4 linked regions of the Saccharomyces cerevisiae S288C genome follow. Changing the gene in region 3 together with the main gene of any one other region gives a genetic interaction. Each region holds a gene or a part of one and is shown on either strand. Other genes may lie near its edges.

Region 1 (3,166 bases), on a different chromosome or scaffold from region 3:
TTGGGCATACCGCAGTTGAACTTTACTGAAATGGAACCGCTGGCGTTTAAATTTAAGTATCATCTGGAAAGAAAATTAAAAAATATTGCCACTATGGAATTTCGACATAGGATGGAGGTATTGGATAATTTAGGCCTGTTGTGCTCATTAATAAAAAGACTAATAATTGATGAAAAGACTCCCAGATCAGCTACGGAGATTGCTGTGGTACCAAGGATGAAAAGTCTATCATTAACAAGGATTATTGAAGGTCAACTAAACAACATTCCATACTGGATAAAATCTGGTGAACGAAGTACATGGCCCGCACTAGCTTTAATTAAGACAAGATGTGCAGTCGAATTTAAATTAGACGACATAATAAGAGCAAGACGGAGTAGGTAGTATCGTTTCCACTTTTTTCTGTCTTATTTTTTTTATTGATAGAGCTCGATTGCATATATTTTTCATTGATATTGTACTTAAAAATATATTCAGTTCATAGAAAAAACAATAATACGAGAATCAATGTGCCTCGTATATAATCTTATCATTATTTAGCGATAAAATAGTTTTGTTGACTCCTTCTCATTCAGATATAGGTATTCATTTTCAACGACGTGTAGGCTTGTGTTTGAAGTTGCAATGGGTGCGCCGCCCCTGCAAACGTGCAATGAGCCGGTTACGTCCTTTGCAAAACCGGTCTTCAGAGGATTCAAGTTCAAATTAATCATTGATTTGATAAAGGAAGATTTGTAGAAATTTTGCAGATTCGAGGAATGAACAGAAGCATCGTATTCATCTATATTAAATATGTCCGAATTGGAAACAATGATTAGCACTTTGCATTGCCTCAAAAGAGGTGTGATGAACTTATTGTTTAATTCTGAACAAGTTAGGCCGCTTACTAGCGACAACAGTAATTCTGGTTGTTCGATGATAACAATGGTGTCAGTTGGGTTATTTTGTATAGCAGCGGAGAACTTTGCGAGTACGTCACTTAGTATTTTGTCTCTTGGCTTATTATGGATATTATTAACGATGAAGTCGGACAGGAAGTCTAAAACATTGTAGTTATTAGATGGGATCTTTAGCTTGTTTAATGAATTTGTAAAATAGTTCTGTTCGTGGATAAACGACGCAAGGACTGCATGGGAGCGAGTTGACGAAGGTAGCATCGATGAAGAAGATTCATTAAGGGAACTTGGGGAACCTAACACGTGCGTTTCTACTAGTGCGTTTATCATCCATAGTGGTTGAGTACAGGATTGATGGGTGATGAAGAATAAGTTATGAGAGTTGCTGTCTTGGAAAAAGTGGGCAGGAAGCACTGATTGGTCGCTGAATAGGACCAAATCTTGTCGTTGAACACTACCCATAAATGTGTATTTAGTTATTTTTGTGGAGGTTCTGGACGGTTTTTGCCTAACTTCTACTAGCCTCAATTTAGTACTTTTATTTTTTTTTCATTTTTCATTCTGCTCATCGCCTATCAATTCATGCCTAAGAGATGCAAAGATAGCGTACTATAGATGTGAAAAGTTGGATAAACAAAGCCCATGATATAAGCCACGGCTTCAGCCTTAAAATTGGGGTTAAAGGCTAAGAACGAATTGCAAATTCTTTTGCTTCAGCAGGAATTTTCCAACAGCAAAGTATAAAAAATCTATCTAAGCCGCTTTTAAATTAAGGAGCGTATATAAAATTATATAATCACACTCGAAGGACCAATCTGTGCTCTACATACCTTACGCGCTCTAATAATATGATCTATGCTTCATCAGTCTTGTTTATTCTTAAAGTATTTTTTTTTATGTTTGGTTCTTGTTATTGAACAAAAAAATGAATTAACCCGAACACTACCAAATCAATAGCAGAAGAAAAGAAGAAAATGATAAAATAAAGGTGAGAACCATTTTAAAGCATTATTCATTATGAAATCCTCCTATCTAGTATAACTTGATTCGACACCTTGCTAATATTTCTCTGAAGCACTGTCTTTAGAGGCAAAACGGTACTATCGCATATTCTTACCCGGTTTCAAGTTTTGCCCTCACGCTTTTTTAGGGAGAAATGACTTCCACCGAAAGGATAATTTGAGAACACCACTACAACTTAAAGTCCAAGAGCTTCATCAGTACAACGAGTTCGTATCATCAAGAACGCACATCAGCAGAATAATGGGAGGTATACTTAAAAACCCGCTAGCCTTATCGCCGGAGCAGCTGGCGCAACAGGATCCAGAAACGCTTGAAGAGTTTAGAAGACAAGTTTACGAAAATACGCAGAAAAATGCCAAATTGACATCACATAAAAGGAATATACCGGGACTAGATAATACAAAAGAGGAGGGGGAGATAATTGGAACATCGAGTACCTTCCTTCCAAAGGACACACTGTCACTGAAACATGAGCAAGACATGTTGGCCAAGATGACACCAGAAGAGCGAGTTCAATGGAACCAAAGAAATTTAGCAGAAAATGAAATAACAAAAAAGCAGTTCCAAGATATTCACATAGACGAGCCCAAGACCCCCTACCAAGGTGCTGTGGACCCTCACGGGGAATACTACAGAGTAGATGATGATGAAGATGAGGATAATAGTGATAAAAAACCATGCCAGGTGGCAAACGATGACATCGACGATTTGTCCCTGGGCGAACCGGAATTTGAAATCAAAGAGAACAAACAACCGGATTTTGAGACCAACGACGAGAATGATGAAGACTCACCGGAGGCTAGACATAAGAAATTTGAAGAAATGAGAAAGAAGCATTACGACGTAAGGGCAATTTTCAACAAAAAGTCCCGTGAAGCGCTAAAGGACGAAGACGAAGACGAAGATGATAGTACGACAAAAGAACCATGAAACATGACACCTCCATAACGTTTACCTATACTAAATATATCTTATTTTTTGGATTCTTGGTACATAAATATGCACTGTTTGTTATCACGCGAAACGAACTGATTTTTTAACAAGCTTTATTTTATACATGAAAAATTTCCCATCGATGAGCTGTGATCGGCAAGTGAGAGTACTCTGTTTCACAACTACTACCGGTCCCAGGAATATATACTACTGACCACAAAGCTGTGTATCACTTAGTTTGATGAGCAGCACGAGGAAGTTCAAAAAGGTTGAGAAACCTCTATCACAAACCAGACATTATTCACTCTGTATCC
Region 2 (2,766 bases), on a different chromosome or scaffold from region 3:
AAGTAAAACTTCGAAATTGGGAGCGTGGGCTCAGAAACTTCCAGTTTCCAAAGGAAAACATCTTTGACGATGTGCAAAAGGCGTAGTGGTGGTAATTGGACAATGAACTGCGATCGGAAAAGTGCTCCGACCAAGCGATACAAAGTGTCGGGGGATTTGACTCTTGGGACGTAGTATACCACATTGGCCGCGATTTCGTCTAGCAGGCGTTGATCATACTGGATCCTCGTTTCGGAAGAGAGTGCAGTGATCAGATATTCGACGTCATGATCAAACATAATGTCCTAATGCCCTCTGTAAGTGCGGTTTTGCGCGCATACATGCGTATTCATATTTCCCTTTTGCATTTGTCTTCTTCGGTTTTCCTGGTAGAATTTCCCTTAATGGGAGAGTAGTAACAATGCAAAAAATGAAGAAAATTGAGAAAAAACAAAAAAGAAAAAAAAAAAAAAAAAAAAAAAGAGAGCTATGTAGGTTGATTGTGTTGTTCTATGTAGTGCCCTTTATTTTTCTTTGGATTTAAATTTACAGACACATTATATCTTGAGGTTTTTAGTCCCTTCTTGAGCCTGCTTCAAGTCTTGCCTTCTCTGAACGTCCCAGTTATACAATCGCGCGCAATTGACCTCCATTGTCGTGATATTTTCCCTCAAAAACTCTACGTCCTCGGTGGACACCGTTAAAGACTGTTCGGAATCCGCGAGTTTCTTCTTTAACAACTCTATGGCCTCGTCGATGGGATATTCCAGCATCACGTCTGCGCCAAGCCACAACCCAACTTTCAAATCCGCCCGATCTTCCGGTATATCAACCTGAGCCTTTGTGTAGAGCGTGTCGTTCAATTGGTAGTGCAACAGGATAGGTTCATCGCTCTCATCGCCCTCGTCGCTGTGATTGCGCAGACTTTGGCATATTTTTAATGTGTTTTCCAAGTCCGGGATTCTAGTCTTCAGCTGCTTTATCGTAGCCAATTTAGATTCCTGCATAAATTTGTACTTAGAAAGCCGTTCTTGGAACTTATTGAAGCACAATTCGAAGTCGCTTGGGTCCTTAATTATTTCGTTGACATTTTCGATGAATGGAGCCTGCGGTATGCCTCTGGCATTCTTTTCCGTGGAGTTGAACAGTGTGTCCATAATAACCGTAGTATCTGTTATATATGTGCGTACAGTTTTCTGCAGTAAATGTTGTCTACAATTTATAGCCTCTACAATAGTGTTAAACTAGATTTTTTCACTTTCTTTTCTGACCAGTTCTGCAAAATGATCGAAGAAACGAAACAAATCATGTGTTACCCGTCCTGCACAATCATGAGTGCCTGCGGTTTCCATATTGGAACGGCACCTTCCTTTTTTGGAAGTCACGTTCCTGCAGCGCGTTTCTTTTTTTTTTTTTTTTTTTTTTTTATTTTTCGGTTTTTTTCGCACGTTTCTTTTTGGTGAGCGAGAAAGCTCGTTGCCTCCTAATATAAAGGATGAGATGAGATGAGCAGTGCCGCAAATGAGGGATGTGTTTATTTGTTCATTGTCGTTTTGCGATTATCTTCGTTTTCATGTGTTAACTCATTCATTCATTCATTTACTCGTTCACGCACACGCAGCAGTTATTCCCTCGACGAGCGTTCACTTGTATCATATAGCATAGTTTACGTAGCAATGAATAAAAGCAGCAAGGCATTTCAGGTACCGAATAAGGTCATCACCAAGGAGGATATTACTCCCTTGTCCAGATCGCACACAAAGAAAGCGGACACTCGCGGGACAGCAGATGGTAAAAACACCACAGCCAGTGCAGTCGAGGCCACCCCAATCATCATCACCACTGCTCGTTCGATAGATACTGCCGGTTCACTATCTGAGAACGCCACCGAGGACGATGGCACCCAAAACGGAGATTTACACGATGATGACGATGATGACGACCTCGAAAGTACGCTCGGCTATAGTTCTGAGCCTGATCCTCTCTTCTCCCCATGCCACCAGCCTTCCTTCACCAACAGCACATTTAGTTACAGTGCGGACAATGAACTACCCATGGAGGAAAATCACAACAAGAATAATTTCCACGATAGCAGCGAGAGCAGTATCTTTCTACCACAGATACAGCAATCATTCTTTTTCGGCGACAATAGCAAGAGTGACGCAAATAATACGGACTTCTGGAAGGAAGTAAATGGCACTGCAGAAGAGGCCATTTGCCTGCAGGAGACAAGACAAAGAAAATGCTCCCTCGTGGCTCTGCATCCAGGCGACGCCACCACGAGTTCGAACGACACATTGGGAATAGAGGACTTCATCAAAGATGATATCAACAGTGCTGAAGCCATGGAACCCTCCCCATCTTCATCACCATCTTCCTCCCTTCTTGATAATTTGGACTACAATATCAAGTTATTGTGCTACAGAGACAATGAGGGCAAGTTCACCTTGAAAAAAAGGAAGTTTTTGAAGAATTCCCTGCGCTCATCCTCTGCAATTTCTAAAAAGTGGAAACCCTTGTCTAAAAGAGATAAGCTGTTGAAGAGGGCCATAAGAAGAAAGAGTGGTGTTTGCCAGACGTTATCAGCTGGTTTTGGTATCGGTGAATTCATGTTGTAATAACAGTACTATTAACAGTACAATAAATAGATTCTTTTTATACAGTGTTAGGGTAACTTGTTTTTGTAGGATTTGAAAAATATGTCATTATAAGATCTATATCTTTTACTATTTGGACAAGTTGGCTAATTTGATAGGCAATTGAATAAGAAGGAACTCTGTATCTCAA
Region 3 (2,696 bases):
TGCAAAGATCACACGTCTTACTAAACCAGCACTTTGATAATATGAACGTTAAGTCAAACCAAGATGCAAGAAGGAATAACGACGATCAAGCTATTCAGTATACCATCCCTTTTGCATTTATCAGTGAGGTAGTACCCGGTAGCCCTTCAGATAAAGCAGACATAAAGGTTGATGATAAGCTGATTTCTATTGGTAATGTGCATGCGGCAAACCACTCTAAACTTCAAAACATTCAGATGGTTGTAATGAAAAATGAAGACAGGCCACTTCCCGTCCTTCTCTTGAGAGAAGGGCAAATCCTAAAGACATCGCTAACACCTTCGAGAAACTGGAATGGTAGAGGTCTTTTGGGTTGTAGGATACAAGAGCTATAATCTTCGTCATGTACTAAAAAAAACCAATCCAGTTATTACTATTACTTTTTATACTATCTGCATATTACCTACGTTATCTAACTTGTGATTCATTCAAGCTGTACAGCACTTTATATATATATATGTAGCTGCTTCTTAAAAATTATTTGCTGCTATTTTTAACCACCATGTAATGTTGAAGTAAAAGAGATGATGTCACCGTCTTCCAATATGTAGTCTTTTTCGCCTTCGAGCTCCCAATCGGTGTCGTTGATTAATGTGATGATACCGGGTCTTATAGAATCATCTTCGATGAAGATACTAACGTCATTAGGGTTATTGATCATAGTAGATACAATGTGGTCAATCAAATCGCCCACTGTGACAGGATCTTCTTTGTCCATCTTAATTTTATGTACTCTTTGTTTTCCAAAAATAGCATCAAGTCCACCTAGAAACTCCACTTTCACGTTTACCATCCCGATTTTGCTATTAACCTATCTCGTTTTAGTATCAGAAATCAGTATTGTTTTCTGCTTTGGGAATTTTTGAGCTCTCCATACCGTCTGCCAGTAGTATTTCATTAGGTCGATGCGATGCCATTACTTTGTCGTTATATTTTTTCTGCCGAAGTGGGCGACAATGTAATTAAAAAAAAAAGTCTAAATAAGATTGAGAACTTGGGAAGGAACATAATCCGGTATGTGAAATCAATTGAATCTATCCTCTGTCTCGGTATAATATTATACAAGTTAGGAGAATAGTTATATATAAATATATGTGAACTTGTAGAACTGATGGCATTTGATGGCCGTCACATGGTACGCCACTAAAACCTTGATTAAGTAGATTAGATTAGACTAGCAAGTGTTGGTAACGTTTTGTAGGAAAGAGTCTCAAAGTACCCAGCGCCAACTTTTGCTAAAGTCAATCATAAAATATATGTTTTTAAAATATGTAGGTATGCCGTGCATTTTTATTCTTTTTTAATGTTTAGCTTTCAAAAAAGCTAAAATAAACCATAAGCGTTATTCTTATTATATTGATAGTAGAAGAGGAAGAGTGGTTATCTTTACTCAAATTAACGATTGCTTTTATTTCTTACATTAAGGTCGAAACTATTTGCTACTATGAAAGCCAAGCAGAAACAAACAAGACCTTATTAAGATTGATGTTTCAAGCTATGCATTCCCAATTCAGAAGAACAAGGGAAGAGCATAAGACGGCTATCTGCATTTAACAGTAGTGGTCACTCCTACAGTAGTCATACTTCTCAAGCCTACTTTCGGTATGGCTTTTAAAGTCATAAAATAACGAATAGTTCGTATACCGCTCATGTGGCAAACTCAATAGCAAAATGTGATTTCATATCACGAAGTTTTTTATATTTTTTAATTATACAATTGTAATTTGTATTACGGAAATGAAACATGTTTGTATGTTATGTAGTATATCAATAATTGATTTACCGCATCTGTAAAAGAGAACCATTTATCACGCACATAGTTTTAGTATTCACTAATCGGTGCTCTATGGAAGTACGAGACACCGTGCATAGATGGAAGGGGAAGGTAATAAGCTTCTCTCTAAGAATTTTCTTTGTAAACCCTTTCGACTTCTGATTTAACAGCGGCTAAGATTTCTCTTCTCTTTAATTTTTGAGCAGATGTGACAAAGCCATTTTCAGGTGTCCATTCTTCATCAAAGAAAACAATACCACATAATAGTTCAATACCAACCAAACCTTGAGATTTGGCTGTTGCGATCATCTCTTTGAAAACAGCATTTCGTAATGCTTTGTCATGGATATAGTTTTCGATGTCTTCACCCTTTTTCATAATACGCAATTTGACAGCAAATTTAGATAGGGGTCCTGGGTTGGGTACCACAATACCCACCGGTTTAACCCTACTTTCATCGGCATAAACACAGATATTTTTCACATAGGAGTTTGACCTGTAAACAGATTCTAACTTTTCTAATGCAATATATTCACCATTTAGGGTTTTAACCAAATTCTTTCTTCTATCAATAATTTTAAGTTGTCCCTTGGGAGTCCATTCAACAATATCACCAGTACGAAACCATCCATCGTAAGTGAAAGAGACCGCCGTTTCTATTGGATTCTTATAATATTCAGAACAGACCGGCGCACCCTTTAGAAGCAATTCACCTTGATTGTTTTTTGCATAATAACCTAGGTCCTTAACATCCACCAATTTGGCAGTGACCGATCCAACAAGATCACCAACTATACCATATTCGAAATGATCAGGCTCCAAAACACAAGCATTCGCAACTGTTTCAGTAAGGCCGTAACCGATAATCATAGGACACAGGACG
Region 4 (3,434 bases), on a different chromosome or scaffold from region 3:
TTGTGGGGAAGGGGTAGCGACGGATTAATGGCATACTTGTTGTTGGGATTAATGTGTTTCAGAAGTAATCTGGTATAATTTTCTTTATTTGCTGGCCTACTGGGTAAATTTTGAAAGTACAGTCTGTTTTTATTGGTCATAGAGTATAGAATAATGAAAACGTTAGTAGAAAGAAGATTTAAGGAAACGTAAATTACAAGGTATATACATACGCTGACATGGTTTCTTTAGGTTTGATGAGGCCGTCTTTTGTTGATAGCAGCTTTTTCCATTTTTTTTTTTTTTGTTTCGAGTAACGTATGGTTTAGTATCTGTCTTCTCCTTCTCTTACAAAAAAACCCTTTGTAAAATAGTGCCGAGTTGGAGGACATCAATCTGATGGGCAAGAAAACACCAACCCCCCCTATATGAAAAGAAAATGATAAGCAGATAGATAAAAATACTTAATTAACTAATACATAAAAATAAGAGGTATATAAAAATATTATATGGAAGCAATAATTATTACTCTTATTTCTTAGCAGCCTTTTGAGCAGCCTTGGTAACCTTAGCGGCCTTTTCAGTCTTGTCAACAGACTTGATAACACCGACAGCGACAGTTTGTCTCATGTCTCTGACAGCGAATCTACCTAATGGTGGGTATTCACTGAAAGCTTCAACACACATTGGCTTAGATGGAACGAACTTGACCAAAGCAGCGTCACCGGACTTCAAGAACTTTGGATGGTCTTCCAACTTCTTACCAGATCTTCTGTCGTTCTTTTCCAACAATTCGTCGAATCTACAAGCAATGTGAGCAGTGTGACAATCCAAAACTGGAGAGTAACCAGCAGAGATTTGACCTGGATGGTTCAAAACAATGACGGTAGCGTTGAAAGAAGCGCAACCCTTTGGTGGATCGTTCTTAGCGTCACCACAGACGTTACCTCTTCTGATTTCCTTAACGGAAACGTTCTTGACGTTGAAACCAACGTTGTCACCTGGAACACCTTGTTCCAATTGTTCGTGATGCATTTCAACGGACTTGACTTCAGTGGTAACACCAGCTGGGGCGAAAGTAACAACCATACCTGGCTTGATGACACCGGTTTCAACTCTACCGACTGGCACAGTACCAATACCACCGATCTTGTAAACATCTTGCAATGGCAATCTCAATGGCTTGTCAGTTGGTCTAGATGGTTGTTCAATGGCGTCAATGGCTTCCAACAAAGTCTTACCCTTGACGACACCGGCCTTGGTTTCCTTTTCCCAACCCTTGTACCATGGAGCGTTGGTGGTAGCTTCAATCATGTTGTCACCGTTCCAACCAGAGATTGGGACGAATGGAACAGTCTTTGGGTTGTAACCAACCTTCTTGATAAAGTTGGAGGTTTCCTTGACAATTTCTTGGAATCTGGATTCGTCCCATTTGACGGAGTCCATCTTGTTGACAGCAACAATCAATTGTCTAACACCCAAGGTGAAAGCCAACAAAGCGTGTTCTCTGGTTTGACCATCCTTAGAGATACCGGCTTCGAATTCACCGACACCACCAGCAATAATCAAGATAGCACAGTCAGCTTGAGAAGTACCAGTAATCATGTTCTTGATGAAATCTCTGTGACCTGGAGCATCAATAACGGTAACTTGGTACTTTGGAGTTTCGAACTTCCACAAAGCAATATCGATAGTGATACCTCTTTCTCTTTCAGCCTTTAACTTGTCCAAAACCCAAGCGTACTTGAAAGAACCCTTACCTAATTCAGCGGCTTCCTTTTCGAACTTTTCGATGGTTCTCTTGTCAATACCACCACACTTGTAAATCAAATGACCGGTAGTGGTAGACTTACCAGAATCGACATGACCGATAACGACAACGTTAATGTGAGACTTCTCTTTACCCATGTTTAGTTAATTATAGTTCGTTGACCGTATATTCTAAAAACAAGTACTCCTTAAAAAAAAACCTTGAAGGGAATAAACAAGTAGAATAGATAGAGAGAAAAATAGAAAATGCAAGAGAATTTATATATTAGAAAGAGAGAAAGAAAAATGGAAAAAAAAAAATAGGAAAAGCCAGAAATAGCACTAGAAGGAGCGACACCAGAAAAGAAGGTGATGGAACCAATTTAGCTATATATAGTTAACTACCGGCTCGATCATCTCTGCCTCCAGCATAGTCGAAGAAGAATTTTTTTTTTCTTGAGGCTTCTGTCAGCAACTCGTATTTTTTCTTTCTTTTTTGGTGAGCCTAAAAAGTTCCCACGTTCTCTTGTACGACGCCGTCACAAACAACCTTATGGGTAATTTGTCGCGGTCTGGGTGTATAAATGTGTGGGTGCAACATGAATGTACGGAGGTAGTTTGCTGATTGGCGGTCTATAGATACCTTGGTTATGGCGCCCTCACAGCCGGCAGGGGAAGCGCCTACGCTTGACATCTACTATATGTAAGTATACGGCCCCATATATATATATATATATATACATTAAACATTATTGGTAAATACACCAGCAACCGCATGATTGATGTTATGGTGGAATATAGGTAGCTAAAAAAACTCTACATAACAAAGTAATTGTTTACATTGATCTTGACCTATCAAATTTCTTTCACATTTTGGGTTTATAGGTCAATATATTGATATATATGTGTAGCTATTTTCGCTTGCTTTCAAGTCACTTCTTAATGGTGGCTCGCTGTCTCTCCTTTGCTAGGGACAAAAATTCGCCTTTAATGGCACATATGCCATGCTTTGAACAGGGAACACGATATATAACGTCATTGCTCGGACATGTTTGGGTGGACCTTATTCTACATGTTTTACTTTTCTCGTCATAATGGCGATGACAGGAAGGGCAAGCTCATCTCCCCAGCTTTAAAGGGTAGCTCAAGGAACACCTACTTCTCCTTGTTGGGAGGAGTCCTGAATAAGGAGTGTCGAATATAGGGAGCTTCATTCGTTGTCAAGAGAATACCAGATCACCTGTTTGGATATATAAACGAGTGTAATAATGCAGAATTATTCCATTTATTTCAGTCGTATATTCAATTGGCTTGTCCCCTCTTACTGTAGTCTTCGATTTGTAACCTCTACGTAGACGATTATACCTTACTAATCAAAAAAAGAACAAAAAAATGGCACAGTTCTCCGACATTGATAAACTTGCGGTTTCCACTTTAAGATTACTTTCCGTTGACCAGGTGGAAAGCGCACAATCTGGCCACCCAGGTGCACCACTAGGATTGGCACCAGTTGCCCATGTAATTTTCAAGCAACTGCGCTGTAACCCTAACAATGAACATTGGATCAATAGAGACAGGTTTGTTCTGTCGAACGGTCACTCATGCGCTCTTCTGTACTCAATGCTCCATCTATTAGGATACGATTACTCTATCGAGGACTTGAGACAATTTAGACAAGTAAACTCAAGGACACCGGGTCATCCAGA

What was found.
Region 1: mutations in URM1 (region 3) and ELP6 together harm fitness more than expected from each alone (negative genetic interaction), as found in Saccharomyces cerevisiae (3 studies listed by BioGRID, with this or other methods).
Region 2: mutations in URM1 (region 3) and PAC10 impair growth when combined (synthetic growth defect), as found in Saccharomyces cerevisiae (4 studies listed by BioGRID, with this or other methods).
Region 4: mutations in URM1 (region 3) and TEF2 together harm fitness more than expected from each alone (negative genetic interaction), as found in Saccharomyces cerevisiae (4 studies listed by BioGRID, with this or other methods).

The regions. Positions count from the first base shown.
Region 1 is NC_001145.3:896,597-899,762, reverse strand, and holds ELP6 (Elongator subunit ELP6), read right to left. Parts: upstream 1,359-3,166; coding exon 537-1,358; downstream 1-536. Other genes in the region: TGL3 (bifunctional triglyceride lipase/lysophosphatidylethanolamine acyltransferase), read left to right, coding at 1-384; PP1-complex regulatory subunit GLC8, read left to right, coding at 2,160-2,849; UPA2 (putative methyltransferase), read left to right, coding at 3,094-3,166. UniProt on the Saccharomyces cerevisiae protein: Component of the elongator complex which is required for multiple tRNA modifications, including mcm5U (5-methoxycarbonylmethyl uridine), mcm5s2U (5-methoxycarbonylmethyl-2-thiouridine), and ncm5U (5-carbamoylmethyl uridine).
Region 2 is NC_001139.9:639,236-642,001, forward strand, and holds PAC10 (tubulin-binding prefolding complex subunit PAC10), read right to left. Parts: upstream 1,137-2,766; coding exon 537-1,136; downstream 1-536. Other genes in the region: PEX8 (Pex8p), read right to left, coding at 1-278; YGR079W (uncharacterized protein), read left to right, coding at 1,485-2,597. UniProt on the Saccharomyces cerevisiae protein: Binds specifically to cytosolic chaperonin (c-CPN) and transfers target proteins to it. Binds to nascent polypeptide chain and promotes folding in an environment in which there are many competing pathways for nonnative proteins.
Region 3 is NC_001141.2:340,672-343,367, reverse strand, and holds URM1 (ubiquitin-related modifier URM1), read right to left. Parts: upstream 833-2,696; coding exon 533-832; downstream 1-532. Other genes in the region: NAS2 (Nas2p), read left to right, coding at 1-374; long-chain fatty acid-CoA ligase FAA3, read right to left, coding at 1,940-2,696.
Region 4 is NC_001134.8:476,124-479,557, reverse strand, and holds TEF2 (translation elongation factor EF-1 alpha), read right to left. Parts: upstream 1,888-3,434; coding exon 511-1,887; downstream 1-510. Other genes in the region: MUD1 (Mud1p), read right to left, coding at 1-123, 213-220; transketolase TKL2, read left to right, coding at 3,121-3,434. UniProt on the Saccharomyces cerevisiae protein: GTP-binding component of the eukaryotic elongation factor 1 complex (eEF1). In its active GTP-bound form, binds to and delivers aminoacyl-tRNA to the A-site of ribosomes during protein biosynthesis.